Saccharomyces cerevisiae S288C: one gene and its partners. The protein of the gene in region 3 interacts with the protein of the main gene of each other region in a biochemical or structural test. Each region holds a gene or a part of one and is shown on either strand. Other genes may lie near its edges. The genes, in order: ALY2, ATC1, CNA1 and ZRG17.

Evidence for each region.
Region 1: of the proteins of CNA1 (region 3) and ALY2, one has a biochemical effect on the other in vitro, tested with the Saccharomyces cerevisiae proteins (one study listed by BioGRID).
Region 2: of the proteins of CNA1 (region 3) and ATC1, one has a biochemical effect on the other in vitro, tested with the Saccharomyces cerevisiae proteins (one study listed by BioGRID).
Region 4: the proteins of CNA1 (region 3) and ZRG17 form a complex in vitro, tested with the Saccharomyces cerevisiae proteins (one study listed by BioGRID).

What each region holds. Positions count from the first base shown.
Region 1 is NC_001142.9:274,362-284,097, forward strand, and holds ALY2 (Aly2p), read right to left. Parts: upstream 3,642-9,736; coding exon 501-3,641; downstream 1-500. Other genes in the region: GTP-Rho binding exocyst subunit EXO70, read left to right, coding at 1-337; TAX4 (Tax4p), read left to right, coding at 4,480-6,294; IML2 (Iml2p), read left to right, coding at 6,824-9,019; ARP4 (Arp4p), read right to left, coding at 9,441-9,736. UniProt on the Saccharomyces cerevisiae protein: May regulate endocytosis by recruiting RSP5 ubiquitin ligase activity to specific plasma membrane proteins in response to extracellular stimuli.
Region 2 is NC_001136.10:828,478-835,672, forward strand, and holds ATC1 (Atc1p), read right to left. Parts: upstream 3,037-7,195; coding exon 2,152-3,036; downstream 1-2,151. Other genes in the region: putative lipid phosphatase CDC1, read left to right, coding at 1-580; YDR182W-A (uncharacterized protein), read left to right, coding at 674-877; PLP1 (Plp1p), read left to right, coding at 1,108-1,800; UPS3 (Ups3p), read right to left, coding at 3,457-3,996; SND1 (Snd1p), read right to left, coding at 4,382-7,015. UniProt on the Saccharomyces cerevisiae protein: Involved in cation homeostasis and in the regulation of the cation stress signaling cascades. Also involved in bipolar budding.
Region 3 is NC_001144.5:1,003,847-1,007,837, forward strand, and holds CNA1 (calcineurin catalytic subunit A), read right to left. Parts: upstream 2,163-3,991; coding exon 501-2,162; downstream 1-500. Other genes in the region: IMP dehydrogenase IMD3, read left to right, coding at 1-282; TSR2 (Tsr2p), read left to right, coding at 2,532-3,149; ECM30 (Ecm30p), read right to left, coding at 3,575-3,991. UniProt on the Saccharomyces cerevisiae protein: Calcium-dependent, calmodulin-stimulated protein phosphatase. This subunit may have a role in the calmodulin activation of calcineurin.
Region 4 is NC_001146.8:696,697-701,285, forward strand, and holds ZRG17 (Zn(2+) transporter ZRG17), read right to left. Parts: upstream 2,736-4,589; coding exon 918-2,735; downstream 1-917. Other genes in the region: putative ATP-dependent RNA helicase DBP6, read left to right, coding at 1-788; MRX15 (Mrx15p), read left to right, coding at 2,994-3,764; COQ2 (4-hydroxybenzoate octaprenyltransferase), read right to left, coding at 3,845-4,589.

The DNA of each region.
Region 1 (9,736 bases), on a different chromosome or scaffold from region 3:
TAGTTATATGGTATCAGATTGGAGAGATTTAACTGCAAATTTGATGGATTCTGTGTTTATTGATAGTAGCGGGAAGAAGTCAAAAGACAAAGAACAAATAAAGGAGAAATTTAGAAAATTCAATGAAGGATTCGAAGATTTAGTATCAAAAACAAAACAGTATAAGCTTTCAGATCCATCATTGAAAGTAACTTTGAAGTCAGAAATAATATCGTTGGTTATGCCCATGTATGAAAGATTCTACAGTAGATATAAAGACTCTTTCAAGAATCCTAGAAAGCATATCAAATATACCCCTGACGAACTAACTACTGTTCTTAACCAATTAGTGAGATAGATTGCGAACATCACTTTTCAAAAAGCAAAATTAAAGAAAAGAACGTACCATAAACAGATATAAACATATATATGTATAACAATTAGAGTTTCTAATATTTTATGTTTGCTCTGGACGCCAGATGTAAGAACAGGAAGGGATGACGTAGGAACCTTGTGCTAGACTAAAGGGTACTCTCATTTATACTTTGTAATCCAGATTCATTATCTAACGTATTAATCAGTACTTTCTCGGGTGAAGAAAGTCTTGAAATAAATCTTTCCTCGGAATCAGAATTCTTAGAGCTTTCCGTTAATCCTGAGCCCTGTGTGAAAATGTCATTATTATGATCTGATTCGGCAGAATTTTGTGCATTAGCTGCATTCAAGAAATTCTCGTTACTTCCCAAAAGTGGAGAAAACTGATTGTTATCGTTATCGTTTTGTAAAGGATGCCAAGCAGAGGAATTTCTAGCGTACGGCGCAGTGATATCAATCGTAGTATCTACTGAGGGTTCAAGTAGATCAACGTATGAATCATTAGGCCTTAAAAAGGAGTCTTCATTAACTTTATTAGTCAACGTTTCCGTTTTACTCAGTAATGGTTCCATGTTCAACTTGTCCTTGCTTATATTAATTCCTGAATAGTCAAAAGAGGATCTAGCTGAGGCGGGGGTGCTCGAAGTATTTGTAGAATGTCGATTTAGTTCATTTTTATCATGATTTTTAAGTTCGTCTTCTATTAAAACTTGATTTAAATCTGTGAAAAAAGGATTATCGTGTCTTATTGTGGACGGTAAATTATCTTGAACACTTTCCCTTCTATTCAATGATCTTAATGATTCATTGCTCAGATTTCCTAAAGCTGAATGCGCAAATCCGCTATTATTTGGTGAGCTATGTAATGAAGACGATAGGCTTAATACTCTTTTTCTGTTCTTTTCGTTACTTTGATTCCCAGTGGATGTCGAGTCTTTGCTTTCCTCGCGTTGTGGGGTTGATAAACTTTTCACGTCCCTATTTTCTCTCTTTTTAGGAGTTGTCTCTCTTTTGTGTTTATTTTCTTCTATCTTTGACATCGATTCTTTTTTATTCAAAGTTTCTGAAGAATTCTTATCCGAATTTTTATTTGGATGGGAAGCTTTTAAACTTGGAGGCGTCGGATGTTTGGAATTAGGCCTCCTTTTTTGATTGTTGTCATGCAACACAGTATCCTTATAAGATGGTGGATCCCGTGGTAAGATGCTCGACTCTGATGAAGATACCTCAGTAGTAGTGGTTCCGGAAGCAGCATCAGATATGAAATCGGAAGAAAAGTCAAAATCTGGCGGAGGCACTTCCATATTTGACATTGGCGATGTTATTGGAGAGAGCGGGATTGCCTGGGGTGATGCTAATTCTCTTTGCAAACTCTCCGGTTGATATATGTTGGATTTCAACTTTGCAGAATTGAAGATGGTATTATCACTCGGATGGGATTTTGAGTTCCTATTGAATTGCCTAGAGTTTCTGGTCAATGAAGTGGAAGGTAAATGTGGGATTAAAATGTCTAATGGTTGGACATTGGGCGAAAGTACTGGAGACGAAAGGACTTCCTTGGGAAAGAAAATATTAGAGTTATGGTATAGATTTATATTGTCATCAGACGATTCCAATATTGAGGAAATTGAGGAATCTGTTTCTTTTGGAAAAGAAGCAGGATGTCCATCATAGCTCGGTAAAAGGGTATTTGCATGCGAGCACAATCTATGTAAAACATGTATTGGCGAGTCAATACTAATTTCGTAATGTTTCCTTTTATTATCTACTACTCTAGACAGTCTCAGGCAAATTTTAATCCAATGGTTTGCTTTGATGTTTTCATAAGAAGTATCTGGATGCAATTGCTGATGGTTGTTGAAACGACTCGGAATAAAAATCTGGTACTCATACTCTTTATTCACTAAATCACCATTCTTTGGATCCTGCAACAGGTTCCCCATATTCTTGGCCTTTGACAAATTTGCATCATTGGGCAAGTTCGGTAATTTAGGACCTTTCTGTTCTGTCAATAAAAATTTCTTGGTGGGCTCCATCCTATGAACCTTCTTTTCTCTACAATAATACTCCATTGTCTCTGTCACATAAATTCTTATTCTATGCAACGTAACTTTATCGAGGGGAGCGAATTTGAACGTGATAGGCAGAAAAGCATCTAAAATAATATCCTTTGATGCTATAACGATATCATAATATAATTGGTTTTCCCAATCTCTAGATATGATAATCGGCTCACTTTCTTCCACAGAATTATGAGCCTGTGTCCGTACGATATTAACCACTTGCCGGGCGCTAATGTTTGATTTAAAGGCACCAGGTCTCTCTATACTGGCAAATAAGAAGTATTCCACAAATCCGAAATCAGCTTTAATAGATTCTGGGTATGCTTGAGGAATTAGTTCTTCGAAAGCATAAATATAGTCGCCTGGTTGAAAGACAAAAAATTCTCCTCCAGACCCGCTGGTGAAGTTGTTGCTTGTCATTGCCAGATGATTGCTACTGGTGGGGATATGATGACCATGATGCGATGCTGCATCATTATGGGTAAAGGTGTTATTCAACAAGTCGGAAAAGATGGAAGTGGTCGTAGGTTTATAGTTGTGGTGAGACACGGAAGGAGACGTGGCTCTCTTCAATAAATTTATCGGGGATAGGTTTCTTGATGGTCCATTGGAAGAAGTGACTGACGAAGATCTAGATCTTTGTCTACTTTCTCTGTCTTTTACGTTGACAGAGGAATTTCCAGGTGCACCTAGAGGTGACAAGTTCAACGAGGACAAACCTGATATAGAATTTTTTCTGCTTGTTATAGTTTCATTATCAGACAGTGTTCTATAAAGAGAGGCACCACTTTCCTTCGTCAAAAAATTATTAGCTGCATTGTTGCTCTCATTAGGTGCGGAAGCATCCATCTTTTTCTTGCTCTTCTGTTCAGTTGGCGGATATAGAGCCCATGTATGGTCTACAATATCTTTGATTTCCACGAATTCTTGTCTTTTAGGAGGGATACCTTCAGGCCATTCAGTTCTAGAATATCCTTTGAACGAAAGACTTATGCTTTTCAGCTTTGTGGGTTTCAGTATTCTTACCACTAGACAGCCCCGAAGAACAACCGAGGGATATTCCGTCTTCTGAGGGTCAAAGCCTTGGAGGAAAACAACTGGTTCAGCTAAATGAATAAAAAGCTGTAATGATGAACTTTGTGCCAAGGGTGTAGCATCGAGGGGGATATCAATATCCTTTTCCATGGGAAACAATGGAGATGAGATAGATTGGTCCATGGGCATCTTGAAAAATGACTGATCTACAATGAGAAAGGCTGGAAAAAAAAAAAAGATGTTTCAACGTTAAAAAAATAAAGGACTAACGGTAATGAATAGCGAAGTCTACAGACTAATTTGCCCTTTTTAGTCTCTCTCAATACTCACAGACTGCTTGTAGCGTAATTAGTACCTATTCTTAAAAGACGAAAAGGAGAACTAGCCAAGTCTTTTTTTTTTCCCAAATTGGACCATATCGGATTAAATTTCTTTTTTCCGAAACTGCAAATCCTCCAGAGAATGTTTTAATAAAGGAAAACCAATGAAAGACATTTAGCAGAATAACAAAGCAAAAAGAAATGACAGTGAAGAGTGATAGGTGAAGGCGTTGAGAAATGAGAGTTGTTGCCATGGAGGAATGGGTACTGAACCCTCTCACAGAGGCGTCACTAATTTAAAAAAGGAAAAAGGTGTTATATGTATTGGGGAAAGGAGCGATGAATTTTTGGGTGATGAATGAAACAGTGGGATGAGATGAACTACAGCAATATGGTTTGGTCTTAACGGCTGTCATGACAAACTATTGATCAGGGCCAGTATTTGTATCATTATTGTTATAATTGAGAATGAAGAAAGGTTAGCCGCTGAGAGAACCTTCTTCAAATTATGTTTTTTTTGCTTTTTTTCTTTTTGGGACGGCGCGCGATAGATGGCGCAAGGGAGTTGCTCTCCGTTCGACATCAATAAATTGGTTATAAAGTGACGTATTTGGTTCCTTTTTAGTAATTGATGAAGAGTGCGGGATGGCCTATACAAGGAAGAGTCGATTTAGTGCCGGAGAATACACGCCCTGACGTTTGTATAAATGCATTTCCCCAAAAAAAAGCATTCCGGAAATCTCTCCGTGGTGGAATTGCCGAAGGAAGCTCTCCAAGATTCTTTAACTGCTGCTCAGATTACTTTCAAGAGATATGCCCACCCCAATGGCAATGCCGGTAGCGCAGAGAGGCCGAGACATCTAAAGGTGGAATCTGCGCCTGTCGTGAAATCTGAGCCTTCTTTGCCGAGGATGAGACAACCGGAACCGAGAAGTATAAATCATCAATACTCTAGGGAAACGCTTCCAGGCCATTCTGAAGCCTTTTCCGTACCGACGACTCCTCTGCAGACAATCCATTATGATGTAAGGAATAAAGCGTCAAATTCGCCAAGTAGTATAGCAGCTGCAGAGACAGCTGCATACCTAGCCCACACAAATTCATTTAGTAACAGATCATCCGGTGTCGGCAGCCGGGATCCAGTTATGGATACTGAAACAAAACCGCCACGTGCTCCTTCAGCCTTGAAAAATGAGCTGCAATTGAACAGAATGAGGATACCTCCGCCGTCATATGATAATAATGTTCGTTCACGATCTATTTCGCCACAAGTATCCTACTCTACCTCGCTGTCATCATCGTGTTCCATAAGTTCCGATGGAGAAGAAACTTCTTATAGAGAAAAAAGCACCGATGAGGCATTTCCTCCTGAACCTTCCATGTCTTCTTATAGTCTTGCGTCCAAAGCCTCAGCAAAGGCTTCTCTAACGGACCCCTCACAGCGGCAGCAAGAGTCAGACTATACGGCAATGAATAAACTCAATGGAGGAAATATAATATATAAAGGCACTTTACCCGACCTAATACCGCGAAGCCAAAGGAAGACAAGTAAACCCAGGTTCAAGCACAGGCTTTTACGATCACCTGAGCAGCAGCAAGAAAACTTATCACGTGTGTATTCGGACCAAACGCAGAATGGTAGGGCAATCATAAACACGCAGCAAAATGTAAAGTTAAAGACAACTATGAGGCGCGGGAAGTACGCAATTACAGACAATGATGAAACTTTTCCCTACGACAGAAAGTCTGTATCATCAGACTCAGACACAGATGAAGATTCTAATGTGATGGAAATCAAGGACAAGAAGAAGAAAAGTCGTCGCTCTAAGATAAAGAAGGGGTTGAAAACAACAGCAGCTGTAGTTGGGAGTAGTACCTCTGTCCTTCCGTTCCCTCATCACCATCATCATCACCATCAGCTCCATAACCCGAATTCTCATCACTTACACACGCACCATCATACAAGTTCTCACAAATTCAATGAAGATAAACCGTGGAAATCTCATAGAGATCTCGGGTTTATTACCGAACAAGAAAGAAAAAGATACGAGTCTATGTGGGTATCAAACAGATACTCGTATTTGCGCTTGCTGCCGTGGTGGCCCTCTCTCGCGAATGAAGACGACGAGTCTCACTTACAGCCCTTAAATTTACCGCAAGACGGCCTGATGCTTAACTTAGTCGTAAAAGATATATGGTATCGATCAAACCTACCCAGGGATCTTCTAGTGCAAATATACAATATGGTCGACACAAGAAAAGACGGTACCTTAGACAGAAAATCGTTTATAGTGGGCATGTGGCTGGTTGATCAATGTCTCTATGGCCGAAAGCTAACGAATGAGCTGGACCAGAGAGTTTGGAATAGCGTTGACGGCTATGTTCTCGGTACAATTAACGTGAAGCCTGCCACTTCCGATCACTATCACAACGCTAATAACCCTCTAGATAAGCCATCAAAGCTTTCAGTCCGACAGGAATTGAAAAACATCAAACGCGATCTCAGAAATGTCAGAATATGATGCCTGGCATTATTTGCAGAAGTTCTCTTCCTGTGTTAATAATGAATGACGATGAGTTAACAATGACCCTTATGTATACAACGAAAGGACGAATGAAAGAAATGAAAATATTATCTTTTTTTTTTTTTTTCTCAATTTTCCTTCACTTTTAGAAGTTTTTCCGTTCCGCGGATTTTGTTCGTCGGACCTTTTGCTTTATTTGTCTCCAGATCTCTCGAGCATAATGGTCGTTTTTCATTTCATGCTTATAGTCTTTGTCTTTCCAGCGGTACCCCCACCCCCTATCTTGGGCTATTTTCTAATTTCGTCCCTCGGATTATTTAATTCATATTCTCCCCACCTTTGTATTACTAAATTTATTTTCCAATGCTCTTTTCACTCATTCTTCCTTTTGCATATTTCTATCAGTATATATAGCGAATTGTATATATAAGCGTCTTGTTACCGGTATAGGAATTACCTGATAGAAAGAAATAGAACATAATAGGAGGAAGGGCAAACAGTGCGCCAAAACGAAAGATAGTAGAAGATGTTTAGAGTATTTGGTTCATTTGGATCAAAGGGTAATCAATCTTCTGGTGAAGAGCAATCAACAAAGACAAAACAGGTTCTGAAGCAGGCTAATGACTTTGAGATCGCCTTAAAGGCAATGGATTTTGTCCTTGATGATAGAACGGATGAAGGGTTGAATTTGCTGAAAAAAGCTGAAATGGAAACTGGTTCAGATCAAACTATCTTGACTTTGGCAAGAGGTGTTATTGAATTTCTTCAAGCCACTTTGAGTTTTGAAACTGAAGAAATGAAAAGAGCTGCAATTACTTTAGGCAAAGCTGAGCAAATGTCCTGGAAAAGTAAGCAAAATGCTGAAAAGACCAATTTTAGGAGCAGTTCAATATATCCTCCCGGTACTGTCTATGCTGTAACATATACTGAGTCATGTCTGTTGCATGCCTTGTTGATGTTATTTAGTGAAAGCATGATGGAAGCAGCCAAGGCTTTGCTAAAGTTAAGGAGGGCTTATACAATGTTACAAGATATCATGGTTACTGTCAAAAAAGCTGAACGATCGAAAAATTCGAGCTCTCCCTCTCCAAGCGAAAAGAGCCAAGAGTCATGCGGAAGTTTTGTTTCTGCAGAGACAACTTTCATATCGGTTGATATACCATACAAATTGTCTTCCGAGGACAAGTCCAATCCACTCCTATTGGAATTTGCTGAAAAAATCTACACGATGAGAATGGGAAGGTTATCAGGTGCCCATATTGGCAATACTCCATCTTTTCATAGGTTAAGGGATGATTTGGGTTTACAGACGACTCCGTCTCAAGCTTCCGACCGCCATTCTGTTTCAGATGATTTCGATTTAGAACAGGCTACCATCGACGAATTCATCCATTCAGGTGCTAATTTATGCTATGGTATCTTGCAAGTCGTCTTATCCTTACTTCCACCTGCAATCGGTGCTGTGCTATCTATTGTTGGATTCAAGGGATCCCGTGAAGAAGGTTTGAGGCTAGTTTGGAAGGCTACAAAGGAGAGAAATGTTCACGGGTGTATAGGTTTGTTAGGTCTGATGTTTTATTACGACGGTCCTTTCCAATTTACAGATGCTGACTTTGATATACCACCAAACGATAATGGATCGAGGGCTTTAAACAAAAGCAGAACAAACGATAGTAGCCTTTTACCAGGTTATATGGACAGTGCAACCTTATTGCATCCTGGAAAAATTCTGGAGGACGCATTACTAAAAGCAAGAGCACTTTTTCCTAATAGTGCCCTGTGGCTGCTAAATGAGGCCAAAATGCTTGCTGGAAAGGGCAGGCTTCGTGATTCTCTGGCCCTAATGGACTCTATTGATGTCAATAGTATCCGTATGAGACAAGTGAAATCGTTGATGGTGTTTGAACGTGCGATCCTTTTAGTCAACTTACACGAATACAACAGAGCTGCCGATGATTTAATAAGTTTGCTTGATATTAGTGATTGGTCTCACGCATTGTACACTTATTTTGCGGGTTGCTGTTACTTGGAAAATTGGAGGATGACACAATTAGGCTTATTAAATGACGGTAAAGAACAATTCTATAAAGAGCGGGCTCGAGAACTCATATTTGACGCTCCATCTTTGTTAGGTAAGAAAACGTTCAAATCCAAAAATCTTCCATTGGATAGATTCATGCTTAGAAAAGTTCAACAATTTAATAATATGCAGAAGAAATTAAACCTACAAGAACCACTAGACTCAATAGCAACATCACCTGTCCATGAACTGGCTTATTTCTACAACGGTTACAACAGGATGACTGAAAACGATTTAATTTTGACCAAAAAGATGTTGACAGAGTATCACAACCCCGCCATTGATTCGGAAGACCCAGATCAAGAGCTGATCAGAAACTTACTACTATCCTTGACCTTAAGAAGATTGGGGGATGCTGAAAGAGGTTTAGCCTTGTTAGATGACATTGTTCTGCCAAAAATATTCTACATTCAAAATGGCAAAGTCAAATATTTCAAAAAAACCGAAGACCCATGGGCATATCCAGCCGCTCTTTATGAGAGAGCTTTATTCTGTTGGAAACTGGGTGGCATGGAAAGTTTGAATGAATGTAGGGAATGGCTGCTAAGAGCCCAAAATTATGCCGCCGATTACGAATTGAGTACGCGTATCGGTATGAAGATCAAAGCCGCCCTTGATAGAGTTGAAAACGCGCTTGCTTAACCTTTTGCTTCTTCCGCCCCAACATTTTAGAAGTATGCATTTTTTTTTTTCTTTCGACTACTTACCTTCCCTTGCTAGCAGTTATTACAACCATCATTTTTTCGTGACGTTTCATAGTTTTTTTATATTTTTACGCAATGGGTTTCCCGAGTAGTTAGTTCTACGGTGTCGATATATATAGTGTTATGATTTTAAAAATGAACATATTTAAATTTTTGAACCTCCTTCTTAGTTATAGGCCAAGTTCATTACTCCCTAGGAAACAAAACCGGTCCATCGTAGAAATTTTTTTTATTTTACAAAAGGGTTATAGTAGAATCAAGACAATTTATTTATCACTGAGATATTGATCGAGTAGATGAATGGTCGCTCAAACTGCTAAACTGAAAGGCGACTTGTCATTCAACAACGTTTTCTATTCCTATCTAAACCTATCGTTAAGCAATCTTTCGACGCCCACCTCTTCGTATTCCTTTTTCCCAACCCACAGTTGGTGAAATGTTCCCAGACTTGTAAGTATACTACCGCCAAGCCATGACTGGTATTGCCTTTCGATAGTGTGCCCTGTTGTTAATATTCTAAATTTAAGGGATGGTAGTATTTTGTTTAGTTCTGTCATTAACCTATCACTTAATCCAGGAATAGAGGATGTACCGCCTGTAAGGACAACATTATGAGCTAGTGTCGCTCTTAGATCCACATCACTGCTCATTATAG
Region 2 (7,195 bases), on a different chromosome or scaffold from region 3:
AGAAATTTTAACGAAAATTCAACCAGAAATATTATTTTCCGGGGATGATCATGACCATTGTCAGATATCACACTCATATCCGTTTCAGGGGAAAACTAAAAATGCTCAAGAAATTACAGTAAAGTCATGTGCAATGAACATGGGGATCAGTAGGCCTGCTATTCAATTGCTCTCCTTATATAATCCTTCAGATTTGACAATGGTAAATGCCGGCGGAGAGTATGCATCAAAAACTTACCAAACAGAGCTATGCTATATGCCAGATCCCTATAAGGCAATCAGAATGTACCTATGGGGATTATTATTCTCTGCTGCCTTTATCGCATACATGCATTTTTTCCCAAAATCTTTTAATAATCGCGTAGCAACCATAATGAACAGAGTATTTACACGACCTGATGGTAACACCTCAGATTTGCCATTACCTACAAGTATTTCCAAATCGAAATCCAAAAAATCATTGACACATAGTAAATACGCTGTGAATGATACGCGTTCGATCAAACAATTTCTAGTTAATGCAATTGTCCTTTTTGTTTCTGTGATGCCCATTTTTATTTATTTTTATACTGTAGTCTAGACAGAATTACTGCTATTCTCTTCCAGGATCAAAATGCTTTGAAGGGAAACGTCTGGCTATTTAATATATGCGAATACACCTTATATACAGACAATGAACAAGAGATATAAATTATACCGGGTGTGGTATTACTATGCTCACCAAACAGTTTGCATAACCTCTACTGGATTTGCATTATGTTTTGTGGTCCAAGCTAAAACTGCAGGACTGGGCGTAACACCAATTACTTCACTATACGGGGACAAAAAAGAACACCTAGGTAAGTTGTTGGTTCCTTTAGTTTTATATCAAATTTAGCAAGTCATGACGGCAAATTTCTTTGTAAGCTTTGTTTAAAAGATGGATACAAAAGGACGACTTTCCTTTCAATCTTTCGTTTTTGCTTTTTATTATTCCATAGCAATATAGTGATCATAGTAGTGTAATTTTTAGAGTTTAAAAAACACGAAAGTAGGATGAAGTACAAAAGATTAACGAAAATACTCCATTCTCTTAACAACTCATACGTATATGAAGATTAAATTAATATGGAAGATAAATTAGACAGATACTACACAAATGTGCTTTCAAATGCTGAAAAGGATAAACACACAACTGTCGATAGCGATGACAAAAGTAGTGGCGAGGAAAATTTAGATGAACTACTTAATGAATTGGATAGAGAATTAGACGAGGATCATGAATTTTTGAGTGCTTATCGGTCGGAGAGGCTACAACAAATATCAGATCATTTAAAACAGGTCAAGAAGAATGTTGAGGATGACGGATACGGTAGATTGCAGTGCATTGATAACGAGGCAGATGCTATCCAAATATGTACAAAGACTACTATGGTGGTCATACATTTTGAATTAGAAACATTCGGTAAGTGCCAGTATATGAATGAAAAACTGGAAAACTTGGCAAAGAGGTATCTAACCACGAGATTTATTAAAGTAAACGTCCAAACATGTCCATTTTTGGTTAATAAACTGAATATTAAAGTACTTCCGTTTGTAGTTGGATACAAGAATGGCCTAGAAAAAGTTCGCTACGTAGGATTTAGTAAACTGGGAAATGACCCTAATGGGTTTGATATTAGGAGGCTAGAGCAATCTTTAGCCCATTCAGGTGTTATAGAAGACACATTCGAAATAAGAAAGCATTCATCTGTGAATACGGAACGCTTCGCTTCTACAAATCATGATAGAAGTGAAAGTGATAGTGATTTAGATATATAACTAAATAACCATTACCTCCCTACTAAAAATGACTCGATGGTCTTTTAAGCCATACGCATGAGCGAAAATGGTTCCTCCTGTTCAAACTAAATCGGTTATTCGAGCGTACCGTTGAAAATTTAATAAAACGTTTTGGGGGATTTATAGAAAGTTAAATACGAAATATGCGTATAGTAATGTTTATACATGAAACTCAAAAATGCGACTGTGTTCCTTAAAATAATAAAAGTTGAGTACGAATAACGATGACTGAGAAAGGTAGTGTATATTGTATATAAAATTGGACCATCTTTGTAGTAAAGACAAAAAAACCAATAAATGCAGATAAACTTAGCAGAACTAACTCTAAATTTAACTTTCCTTGGATGATTTTTCATTGAGTTTTTGAGTAAGTTCTAGGATTTGTTGCTTCAAGTCATCATTCTCAACCAATAAATGTGCTCTGTGAATTTCACTATCCTTTAAAGAGTCCATAGATTTTTTCAATTGAATACAAGATCTCGCGTAACCTTCTTTAATAAAATTGAAATTGAGCAGCAATTTATGAGTATTAATTATTCTTGCCTTCATTTCCGAAATTTGACTTATTGTAAACTCATTTGTGAACTTAGCAGGCTTCGTTGCAGATACAATGTCTTGTCTTGCAGAATCTATTTTAGATGTTATATCAGTAATCATGGATTCTATTTTTAGGTGGGATTCATTAGCGTCGGATGAAGCTAACGAAGATGAAGGTGATAGGGATGCAGGGGATAACATGGGTTCATTTGTGGTTTTCAAAAGGGATTTTTTCTTCTTGATGGTGGGTTTATCTATCTTATAGTTCTTTTGTTCTTTATCAGGTTTATGTACGTTATTTTGGTTTGTACTTTTATCTAATGATGCCTTGCCAGTATAACCCTTTTTATGCCTATCGAGATCAATACCAACTAGGCTATCATTAGCACTTCTCTGCATTTCCAAAAGTGTGCTCGAATCGGTGTTGTGTTCATCGTTAAATAAAGATTCCAATGTTAGGTGTTTCTGAGAAGCGATGTCGGAATCAAAAATATCAGTGCAGTCTAAATTATCCATCATAACTTGTTCGAGATCCTTTCCCAAATCTAAACTCTGCCCATCAATCTTTACTGTATCATCAAAATGATTATTTGCCTGAGTGAGCAGCCGATGCAACGTATGTTCTATATTGGCATCATCTGTTAAATCTGTATTCGGATTGGACTGATTCGTGTTCATTATCTTCACGTTTTCCCTATCACAACCTTAGTGTAACTTGAACCAACAAAATTTAAGATGTCAAAACTTCAATCAAGTATTGAGCTCTTCAATAGGGCACTAGCCCTCTGAAATTTTTCATTGAAAATACCGTACCGCATGTTTTTTGGAAATTTTTCATCTCATCGCTAAAGTGGAAAAAAAAAATTCTAGAAACTGAAAAAAAAGAGAAAAAAAAATGACAGAAAATATTTGATTTATATCAAGATGACACGAGTTTGCAAAAAGAGAAAGACACGCTATAGAAACTATTTTGGCAAATTAATCTATTCACTTATTTTTGAGTTTCTGAGTGTAGTTATATGCAAAGAGGCTATAAATCCTTATTTTTTTGAGAAAAAATGCTTGAGAAAAAATGCTTGAGAAAAGATGTATTTTTTTTTATTCGTTAGCATTTTTCCAGATATCGTTGAACATTGCTAGAATACTATCAAACCCGACTTTCCCCTTCACCGCGTTATCACTAAAACGTTTAACGCCCCAGTTTTCTACTTTCTCACTAAAGGTTTTGGTCGGAACACCAGACAGAAACTTTGCATCCTGCTTGAAAAGAGTCACATTCGATGGATTTTTCGGATGAGGAACATAACGTACGGTTTCGTAACACTTCAAAATATGCGGGAAGGTCATATTGCAACTCCTCATAGTTAAAGATCTGTCCCTTCGATCAACGGTGGAGACCTCTCGCACGTATGCTAAATTAGTGTTCCCCACTAAAATGGACATCCAGTGAGGGGTGTTCTGACGTATGGTTATCAGCCGTTCTGTAAGAAGTACATCGCCATGTTCTTTGAGCTCTCGGCGGAGCACATCGACTGCAATAACGTGTGTGGAGATCTTGTTTGGATATTTCATCCAGTTCGCCGTGGTGACTTTCTCCCATGGGTAATCGAATTCATAAGATTTTTGAAATGATTTCATTATTAATATATAAGCTCGAGAGATATATGACTAATAGAAATATTTACTTGAACTTGTCGATTAGAGAAAAGAAAATGCGTTGCTTGGACCGCAGATCCCACTTATTGTTTTCTTGCCAAATGTAACAAGATCTATAGGTTTATGAACTTTCTTCGAAAATCTCATTACTTTTTTTGATAAATAAACGGGCCCCTTGCGGACAAAGCCCTGAAAATTGAAGATTTACGCAGTATCACGTAAACCCAAAAAAAAAAATACAATATCGGTTAAAGTGCTGTTTTAATTTAGAATATATGTTTTACTAATCTATTTATAATCAAGTATATGTGTAATTTGGCTTTTTCCCTTGCCTTGTGCTTAACCTAGTTTTTTTCAGGTGATTATTTTACCGGGCATTACCTCCTAATACCCATCCTCCCATGTTATCCATATCATCTTCGCCGTATAAATCCAGGGTGACGGCTTTTTTATAAACGGGTTTGGTGACTGTAGAATTCGAGTTTGAGTATTTCACTCCTTCAGTTGTTACATCTGTAAAGCCTGCACTATCATTGTCATCATAGAGATTTAGATTGAAATTATTGGAATTTATACCAGTATTATTGTCGTTATCATTATCATTATAGTTATCATTGTCTGGGTGATTCGGTACTATTGTGCTATTAGTCGAATCGTTATCGTCCTCGCGTTCTTTGGGGAGAGATCCAGACATGATTTGGTCTTCTTCCTCGAGATTTAGTAACCTATGACTGGAATTGTTACTATTTTTAATGCTATTCGCCATCAACGCATCTGTAGGCGTTCTGGACTTGAAGTTTAGTGCCAAACCATTCTTTTCCATGTTACCATTCATCAAGGTGCTAAAAAGGTTAACTGATGGTTGTCTTCTCAGTTCTTCAAATGACTTGTTGATCAAATTCTTCTCAAATAGCAAGTTACTGTTTGAATTATTTCTCATTAGTAATGGAGATGCCTGTTGTGTATGTTGTGGAATTGGTGAATTCAAGAATTTTTGCTTCTTACTTGTGTCATTTAATAATTTGGAAAATGCGTTTGATACTGTAGACATGTCATTCAACGAGGAGTTTGAACTACTTGCGCTTGTAGAGGGCGTAGATATTCGGGAAATAAATTCCGGAGGTATCAATCCATTACTAATAGAAGGAGCCAAGTTTCTGTTCATCAAAGATTTCCTTTTAATAAGCGTTGCAGACGATAGATTCTTTTTGTTGTTGATAGTGTCTGTCCCGTCAAAATCACCATCGTGCACGTAGACGTTAGTAAAATGGTTTGAAGAGGTCGATCTTTTAGGTGATGAAGCCCCTGCAGAATCGGGTTGTTGGCTGTTTGGAAATTTCTGGTTGAACGGCTTTTGCAGAGCAGGGTCCATTAAACTCAAGGACCTAAACCTACCCCTTGTTTCCTTCGAATTTTTTGCCATAGAATCTATTCCGGAGGATAACACGTCTGTGCTCGAACCAGAGCGGGACAAAATGCTTGGAGCGTAAAAGCTCAAACCTTCATCGTCACTCTCATCGTCATCGTCATCATCGTCATCATCGTCTTCATCATCATCATAGTTGTCTTCATTTCCACCTTCTTCATCATCGTAATTAAAGCCATATTCATCTGCGTATGAGGTTCTATCCTGCTCTTGTTCCCCTCGTTCTTTTGTATAATCGTCATAATTATTATTGTTGTACAGGACAATTTCCTCATTCTTAGCACGGTCTTGCACTTCGTTGATTTGGTTGTTTAACTCGTCATATACTAGTTCGTCGTTTGATGGTGTCTTTCCGTAGGGGAAGGGAGAAGGCGATCTGGACATATTAGAACTAGAATAGGATTGTGAACGGGAATGTGGATGCAGATGCGATTGTAAATGCAGTGCAGTTCCCGAAGGCTGCTTGCGTAGGTTGGATTCCTGACCAATAAGATTGTTGATTGACGTTGATGGGATAGTTGTGATGGATTCGTTCGTTTTGAACATATGTGCCCTGTTGGATTTTCTGTTGATAGACAACGACCTAATTCTGACGGACTTGTCTTTATTGGAGGTTAAAACCGAGTTTTGAAAATTCAACAACGACGAAGAGTTTCTTTTCAAACTTGTGTTGCTCTGGTCGTCGCCCTTATCTTCGTTAACAGCATCTGAATATTCATGTAGCGCTTTTATTGATTCCTGGGAGATAAGGCTGGTGAGAGGGTGGTCTGACAACAAAGTCAGCAGTGCTTTTACCCCCGTGCTATTCGTGACAATAACTATGGAATCCAAGACAGTCTGGTCTTGCATGCTACCATTGCTCTGGTTTGAGCCGGTGAATTTCTCGTTCAACTTGGTGTAGTACTCTTTGAACGGGAGTGACTTGGAGTTCTGGATTGTCTTAGTGAAAGAACCAATATTCTGCCAATTAATGATTTTTAAATTAAGCAGTTCTGCGTTCAGGAAAGTAGAAAACCACTTGAGAGAGGTGGGAGAAACGTTGATCTGGAAACATAGGTTTAGTTTCTTTTGAACATACAAGTCTTTGAAAGAATTAAACAATTTTTCAACCAAAAATCTTATGGTCTCCACGTAACGTAAAGACCCCGAAGACGACACCAGTACATTCAGATCAAACTTGTTTTCCGGTGTGCTGCGAGAGCTGATCAGACTTTTCAACTCCTCCCAAAACTTATCGTTATCTTCCGCAGTAGATGTGTTGGAAAAACTTTGCGCGATCGAATTTCTAAGCCGATGCAGCTTAAACCGTTTATTCAGTCTGGAAAGCTTGTTATGAGTCATCTCATCGTTGTAGTAGTCGATCGTAGGGATATCTATGTAAAGTAGGATGTTAAGCTTCTTTAGCGAAGGGTACCGGTCCGCCAAAGACGCTTGTACCACTGTCTGCTGCATGTTGGAGTAAGTGATCAGAAACAGCGAGTCCTGTGACTTCACACTAACTTTTGGTGAAGTGGACTGGGCAAAGCGACGCTCATTAATGCTCGCGGCTGCTGCGTCCGTACCGACAGTGTCCATCGTAGTGTAGGCTTCCCAAAATTTAGGATGTGATTAGTAATAGTGGTTGATTGCGAGCTCCGGGATGCGAGGGAGAGCGTGTATGTGTACTTCAAGTTCGCCAACTTCTCTCTTAAATAGAAAAAGAAAAGAAGAAAAAGGAAACGAAAAAAAAAAAAAGTAGGGAAAAGCTGAGTGATG
Region 3 (3,991 bases):
GGTAATGCATCTACCTCCCGTTACTTTTCCGAATCAGACAGTGTTTTGGTCGCACAAGGTGTCTCCGGTGCTGTCGTTGACAAAGGTTCTATCAAGAAATTTATTCCATATTTGTACAACGGTTTACAACATTCTTGTCAAGACATTGGTTACAAGTCCCTAACTTTATTAAAGGAAAATGTCCAAAGCGGTAAAGTTAGATTTGAATTTAGAACCGCTTCTGCTCAACTAGAAGGTGGTGTTCATAACTTACATTCTTACGAAAAGCGTTTACATAACTAATTGGTAACTAGGGTTCATTAATAATAAAATAAAACTAAAAAATATGTGTTTATATTTATTCTGCTCGCAGTTAAGTATGGAAATCAAGAAATAGACTGGAAATGATCTATATTTTCTTCGTATTTTGTTAGTTCATATTATCTCTTGCGGATCGTGACAGTAGCACAAGAATTCGATGTTGCATCTCATAGGAATAAAAAAGAATAAAATGAGATTTATCACAGTTGTGGCTTTTTCTCCGCTCCCTTTAATATTTTTTCGTAGTATTTAATCTTCTCTTGTTCAACCTCCGATAAAGATGGTGGTAATTTTTCATTAATAAGGTCTTCCTTTCTAGCCTTTTCAAAAGTGCTTAGCGTTTCATTCAAACCTTCAGTCCCACGAGCTAGAGCACCACGAGGTAAGACACCGGCATTCATAGTTTTCAAATATTCCACTTTTTCGCTCTCTTCTCTTAGCACCGAAAACATTCTTGAAACTTTAGCAATAGCTAATATCTTATTTCTCAAAGCCTTTCTTCGGGTTTCATCTTCTAATATCGCTGATGACGCCTTTTCATCAGATGGGGTGCCGGTCTCCTTAGTTGCGTTTGCTCTTGCCTTTACAGTCTCCTCCGCAGCTTTGGGTTCCGATTCTGGGTCAAGTTCCTGCTCACTACATATGTTTAATATAGACACTAACATGCTAGTAACTTTTTCGCCAACAAAAGGTAGTGACCAGGTGAAAACATCCATAAAATCAGGCAACCAGTAAGGGTGCGGAGACATGTGAAACTGCCTGATGTTCATGACGTTTTCTTCATATTTTAACACAGCAGCTTTATTATGATATGTGTCCAGGTAGTTTGGCGCACTGAACATGGTTATTAAGCTCGGGAAGCCTGTTACTTTATTGTTTTTATACATTCTGTACCCAGCATCCTGTGCTTCGTGTGCTCTAATAATAGATAACAAACCATTTGCCTTCAAAAACTTGCATGATGCTTTAAAAGTGAAGGCGAAAGAGCAACCCCTCAAACTGTTAGGTACGAATTCATCCTCGCTCTGATCAAATTCGCTACCATCTCTTGCATCATCATAATTTTCGACAGGATCGGCCCATAGTAGGTCACACATGAGACCACGAGATGGGATTTCTCGAAATCTATTAATTTTATTAACATCCTCTACTGATTTTAACTCTGGAGAGATACCACCATGCACACAAAAATATTGTCCGTTCATTAAAGCTGCTAATGGTAAGACATTGAATGATCTGCAGCAAGCATCGTAAACTTCCATATCGTATTTGTGCAACATCTCATTCTTAAAAGTAAAATAAGAGGTCAAGTGCTTACACTCATGGTTACCTCTTAGCATCCAAAATCTCCCTAAATTATTCAACTTCAAGGAGTACAAATAAATCAGACACTCAAAAGAGAATGCACCTCTATCAACATAATCCCCCAAGAATAAATAGTCGATTTCGGCGGGGTCACCGCCAACTTCAAACAGTTTCAATAAATCATAATACTGCCCGTGAATATCACCACATATAGTAATTGGCGCTTTGAGTTTTAGTAGATTGGGTTCTTTACTCAATGCTACAGTTGACATATTTAAGATTTTTATGGCCTGTTCCTTAGAAAGTCGACCCTCATGAAAGAAATGCTCTCTTAAAAAGGAATGATTAGGTAATCCCGTCTTGGAGTCGAATACTTCCTCATCACTTGGTATCTTTCCTGTTATGGCAGGTACAGAAGCGATAGGTCGGTCCTTAGTAGAAATTACTTTACCGTTTTCTAATTCGTATTTTGTTAAATCTTTTTTCCGGTCAACCTTTATGTAAGAGTCATTAGGTTTAATGATTTTGATGCGTGAAGAATTCAAGTCTTTCGACATTGGCGTTGAGAGTGTTTTATGGCAGCTGAGCTAATACGTCAAAAAAAAAAGAATCTAAAAAAACTTTTCTTTGAATAATACCTTTAATAAAGCAAATATTAAAGGCTTTGCTTCGTTCTTTTATAATAATGCCTCTTGATTCAAAAACATTAAAGGATTTATACATTTTTCCCTTTTGTTTCCCAGTAGTACGTTCTTTTTCAGAATTGGAAAATTCATGTTTCAAGAGGCGATGACATGAAAAATTTTGAAATAGATATAGATGAATATCAAAATGATTCAAACAGTTTGTATTTATTGCAACAGGAAGAAAGGTGGAGTCCAAAGAAATCTGCGAAAAATTTTTATAGTGATAATCCTTACGGAACAATGAGCACACAATATATTGATGAGACAGCATTTGTTCAGGCTGAGCAAGGTAAAACCAATCTAATGTTCTCTGACGAAAAGCAACAGGCACGTTTTGAGCTCGGTGTTTCCATGGTTATTTATAAGTGGGATGCGTTGGATGTTGCCGTAGAAAACAGTTGGGGTGGTCCAGACTCAGCTGAGAAGAGAGACTGGATTACAGGGATTGTAGTAGACCTTTTCAAAAATGAAAAAGTTGTTGACGCCGCTTTAATCGAAGAAACGTTACTTTATGCAATGATAGATGAATTTGAAACTAATGTTGAAGACGACTCGGCTTTACCGATTGCCGTGGAGGTCATCAACATATATAACGACTGTTTCAATTTAAATTATAATAAGGTAGAAAAATTGTATTTGGAATGGCAAGAAAAGCAGAGAACTAAAAAATCAAAAAGAGTTGTGCATATTGAGGGTGATGATGATGAAGACGATGAAGATGTAGAGGACTATGATGACGAAGATGAAGATGAAGAGATGGACGAGGTTGTACCTGACTTAGTATCGTCTAAACCTGAACCAATTGTTGACGAAGACGGTTTTGAATTGGTTCAACCAAAAGGAAGAAGAAAGCACTAGTATCTTCAAAATCTGTATATTATAATTGATAGTGCGCTGCTTTTTTGCACTTCCAGTAAGAAATAGCAACAAAATTAGATAAATCTCGGTGGAGTTATCCAAAATATGTAATATATATCAAGAAAGTTACGTATTAAACATTGGACTTCTAGAGGAGATCTTCAATATAGATTTAAAAGGTGGGCAATGCATCGCTACGTGAAGATTTTTACTTTTCTTCAACATGTGTATTTTTTATGTTTCATATTTTTATATTTTGTGTTTGCTAAGGTCTAATCGTTCAGCTAAGTTAAAGCTAAGTATAAGAAGCAAAAAATACTAAATTATACTAAATTATAAATTTTCGTACATAAATAATCATGAGGTAGATGTTTAAATATGTAAATAGTTTCTTTTTTCTTCTTTGTGATTGTCAAAATTTGTGTCTATCTATACAACCCTCTAGAGGTATATCTTAACTGTGTATTATCATCAAATTCGTTATTATTATAATTGTCATTATCGCTATTAATGAATTTAAATTTCTTGAAAAAAGAAGATGTCATTTCCAGAAATGAAAAAGATTCTTTTCTGAAGTTTGCGATCTTAAATAGTCGGATGTCGGTTCCAACCCAAATGTTATTTTCAATTATGTTGTTTACAACGCCGGGACTAATTTCTTCTTCAAACATATAACTATTCAAATTATCTGTAATGATTGACGTGCTGACATTTGGATCTCTTTGACTAGCCTTGGTGTCATCACTGCCACCATTGCTGTTATTTCCACCCCATTTCCATTTGAAAAATGAAAATCCGCCGTTACTACTGTTGTTGCTATTACCATTAGTGGAATTATTGTT
Region 4 (4,589 bases), on a different chromosome or scaffold from region 3:
ATACACTTCCAGGGAACGTGATCAAAATGATCTTCAGTGCGACATTGACTACCAACACAGAAAAGTTAAACGGCTTGAACCTTTACAAACCAAAGTTGTTCCTGAAGCAAACCGATAAATTGTACCAGCTACCTAACAAATTGAATGAATTTAACATCAACATTCCCACGGCGAAAAGTGTTTACAAGCCATTGATATTGTTGTATTCAATATGCCAATTTATGGCACATTCCCCCATTGCTGCAAAGATTTTGATTTTCGTTAAATCAAATGAATCGTCTATCAGATTAAGCAAGTTACTACAACTTATCTGTGAATCTCGCTCACAATCCAGCGTATTGAAAAACCTTCAAAATTTGGCGGTGAGTATTAATTCTGTCAATTCAAACAACTCCAAAGCAGAAAATAAAAAAATTGTTGCGAACTTCTCGCATCACTCGGAAAGCGCAGGCATTACCATCTTAATTACTACCGATATCATGTCCCGTGGTATTGATATTAACGATATCACTCAAGTAATAAACTATGACCCACCAATGTCTTCTCAACAATATGTCCATCGTGTTGGTAGAACAGCAAGAGCTAACGAACTTGGTTCCGCTTATAACTTACTAGTAGGTAGAGGTGAAAGAACGTTTTTCGATGACTTAAACAAAGATCTAGATAGAGACGGTAAATCTGTCCAGCCATTAGAACTCGATTTTACCCTATTGGAATCTGATTCTGAACTATATACTTCGTCTCTAGAAAGTTTGAAAAACTATCACAATAACACCGCACAAGCTTAATTTCTCACTTTCCACCTTCGCATCCATTCATTTATAACATTCAAACATTTTTTTTTTTAGTCTCATTCTAATAACTCCTGAGTATAGTAATATTAATATGTATGTATTGATGGGTATGTAACTGTAAAATTATATTCGGTCTATGTCTATTGTAGTTTCACACGTTGGAATGCTCGTTTGAATGCACTTGTCAATGGCTAACCTTAACATCAATTCGTCATCGTCGGAGCCTCCTTTCATTGTTATCTTGATCAGTACCACATAAAGCGTAAAATTCACTTTGCTTATTACTATATCATCGTAATTTAGGATGTATCTGGATTTAAACTCACTTAATCTCTCGATTTGGTCCTTGATCATGTTCTTAATGGTTGTTGGATTTTCAGTGAAACCTGCAGAATTCAAAAACCCAGTTTTCCGTATCTTTGTATTCTTTGTTGCTATAGGTAGTGAGCTCATTGATCTTGGTCGTACAGATGGTTTTTCTTTAGCAGCTTTAGACTCGACTTGTTGAGTATGGGCGGTCGTATCAGTGCTGTCATTATTATTGAATAACGCTGAATTGGATAAAGATGTGGTGGAAAATCCCATTAGTAACACTGTCGAGGTCCACCGTGCTATAGTCAGCCCATGCCATAGAATTAAACTCGAAATAACCAAAGTAGCAAGGTAATCGGATATACTCGATAACAGATCCAATAGTAGGGGATAAATGAATAGGTATGCTGTATAAGTGATGGTAATAATCGGGTTCTTCGTCTTTAAATTACTGTATTTGTTAGCATAAAACGTCTTATAAAGTGATAACGTCGATAACACTAAATTGATCATTAGTATGCTATACCATAAGGTAATATTCTCGTTTTGTGAATCATTGGCATTGGCAATGTGGGAATGAGGAATTTGCTCATTAATTTCATCGTGATCATGGTTATTCGTCAAAGAACTACCAGATTCTACAAAGAGGACTATGAATTCTTCAATTATATGGAATAAAAGGTCCAGCCCAACAAAGCATAACGAAACGGCAAGCGCAAAACTTAGTAGAACGTCTATTCTATTTAACCCGAATGGAAATGTGATAGTGCCTGTAAACCATACCTGGAACTGAGACAAATTTTCCACAAATATGATTACCAGCGAACCGATGATATCGTAAGTAATAAAATGCGATAGTGTAATAAAATTACTCCATGAGTACAGGTGTCCGACTTGGAAAGTAATCAGACATGCAAAGATTTGTAGAGCGGCAATAGATAACTGAATATAAGCCTTTGGCCATGGCAAATTTGACAGCAAATCATTGAAATCTGGAATGGGAAGAGATTTGGCAATGTTCAAAGGAATTTTCACCTCAGGCTCTTGAAAAAAATTCATGGATACAGAGGAATGCTTATAACGATGCCCCTTACGAAATGAGGTCCTTGATGCAGCTGAAGAGGGTGGTGTCTGTTGATGCGGTTGCAGCGTTGATGTCGTAAAATTAAAGGGAGAATCCAAGGTCATAGAAGACCTCTTACTGCTGCCAGCATCGGGGGAAATGCCTCTTACCGGTGATCTTGTTCTGGGAGGAGGCGGCACCAGCTTTGGTGCTGGTATATATTTGAGTGATTGCCTTCGTCCTTCGTTGCCTTTTCCCTTCATCAAAGCAGCTTCATTGATATTAGCATTACTAGAAGCGTTTTCACCAAAAGTGAACGAAGGATTGTAGATGATACTAGAACTGGAATTGTTACCTTCCTTGGCAGAATAAAATAGGGAACTGGGCCTAGGTGATGCAAAAAATGTCCTGTTTTGGGATGGTATACCGTCTACATTCCCGACAGCGTTCATATTGGACAAAGAAAACGATGAAGCATCGGAATCATTCAATTTAGGAGTCTGGAAAGCAACTTCCGGAGACAAATTGTCCTCCTCTTGTATAGCGTTCATTTGCGGCGTCTCCATAGCTCTTTCCCTATTCTATAATCTCGCTCACAAGTCACTAAATATTCACTTTTTCTCTCTTAGTAACAAAAATACCTTCAAGGTTCATCATTTTCAGTAATGAATATTCTTGATATTACGCAATAGGACACTTGTGGAAAACTTTTTGAGGTTGCGTTACCCGCGCTGAAATTCGAGAACAATAAAGATCATCATCTCTCATTTTAGCTACATTATAACATAAGAAGGTGCATTTAGTTATCTTATGTGGACTAGGGTATGACAAACATGGCTGCCAAGAATCAGTTCAAAGGAAGCAGCTTCACACTAGCGCAGCTAATCGAAGAAGTCGGACGTAACGGAGGAAAAAAGCCTGTGTTCCAGTATAAGGTACCACGGTCGATACGATGGGCTTCAACTGCTCTAGCTGTAGTGTTTCTCACATATGGCGCTGCATACACTGATATGTCGTGGAGAACTGCTCGAGAAGTGTACGGAAACGCTACTGAGGAAGAAAAACACAGCCCGTGGTTCAAGTGCAAAACTTTTGGGCCTGTGGCTTTAGGGGTTTTGCCTGTGATCCTCGCTGCTGCCACGAAACACGTAACGTCAAGACTAGTCACAGAAATGAAATATCTGCCACCGCTCAAGAATAGTACGGTGCCACGGTGTCAATTGACTCGACGCACTTACTTGTTAGGAAGACCAGTTTCTATCACGAGGGAGATCAATGAACTGTCTAAAAATAAGGCCACCAAGATCTTCACAGGAGTAGGTTCTCAAGGTATGGAGGATAAGGCCACCTTTGTTTTCTTCACAGTGGATGAAAAAGCACCCTCATTTTTCAATAAATTTTACATTTTCTCGAGATCTGGTAGCGTTGTGAAGAATGACGCCAGGATCTTGGACTGCTTTTTCAACAGTGTGGCAGAAAATAAGCTATTGAACAGGTCAATATTAACTCAGATCCTTTCACATACGTCTGCCAAGACCCTATTTCACTCGGGGAATTCTAGATCATCCATCAAGAATATCGTGAAGCCCAAATAGGTACGGACATCTACGTAAGAATGCATGTAAATAATAATCGAATAAAAGAACAATTAAACACTTGTATATGCACGCTATATCTACAAGAATCCAAACAGTCTCAAGATGTAGTCGACTGCCAAGGCGTACGTAAAGTAAAGTCCGGTGTTGATATTTGCATTAAAATACTTCCAGCAGTTTTTAGGATTGTCAAGATCCACTTTCTTTATCATGCTGAAGAGTCTATAAGCGAAGACTCCTAGTCCACCAATGAACCCAGGCCCCCATAACAACCCACTGTTCAAGCCGGCGACAGCTAACAGTGCGATTTGAGACGCGGACATGGCCTTCATGATAGACTTTGTGCGTGGACCCCAAGCCAAAGCGGTAGACTTGATTCCAGCCTTGATGTCAAACTTTTTATCCTGGTGTGCGTATATAGTATCGTAAGTCATACACCACAAGTAACTGCTCAGGTACAAAGGTATCATTGTAGGCCAGCTCATTACACCCATGGCAGGAAACCCAAGTAACGCTCCCCAATTGAAACATGCACTTAATGCAGCTTGAGGATAGTACGTAAACCGCTTAAACAAAGGGTATGTGAACACAATAGGTAACGATGCAAGGCCTAGCCACCAACACTGCGCAGGAAGCAAAGATAGAACGCCCATTCCAACAAGAGTTTGAGCCCCCAAGAATACTAACGCCCGACGGGGGCTCACTCTACCAGAGGCGATAGGCCTCTCGACGGACCTGATAACTCTTTGATCCAACTTTCTATCCAAAAAATCGTTGATGGTGCAGCCAGCACCTCTCATTACCAATGCACCTACACCGAAAATA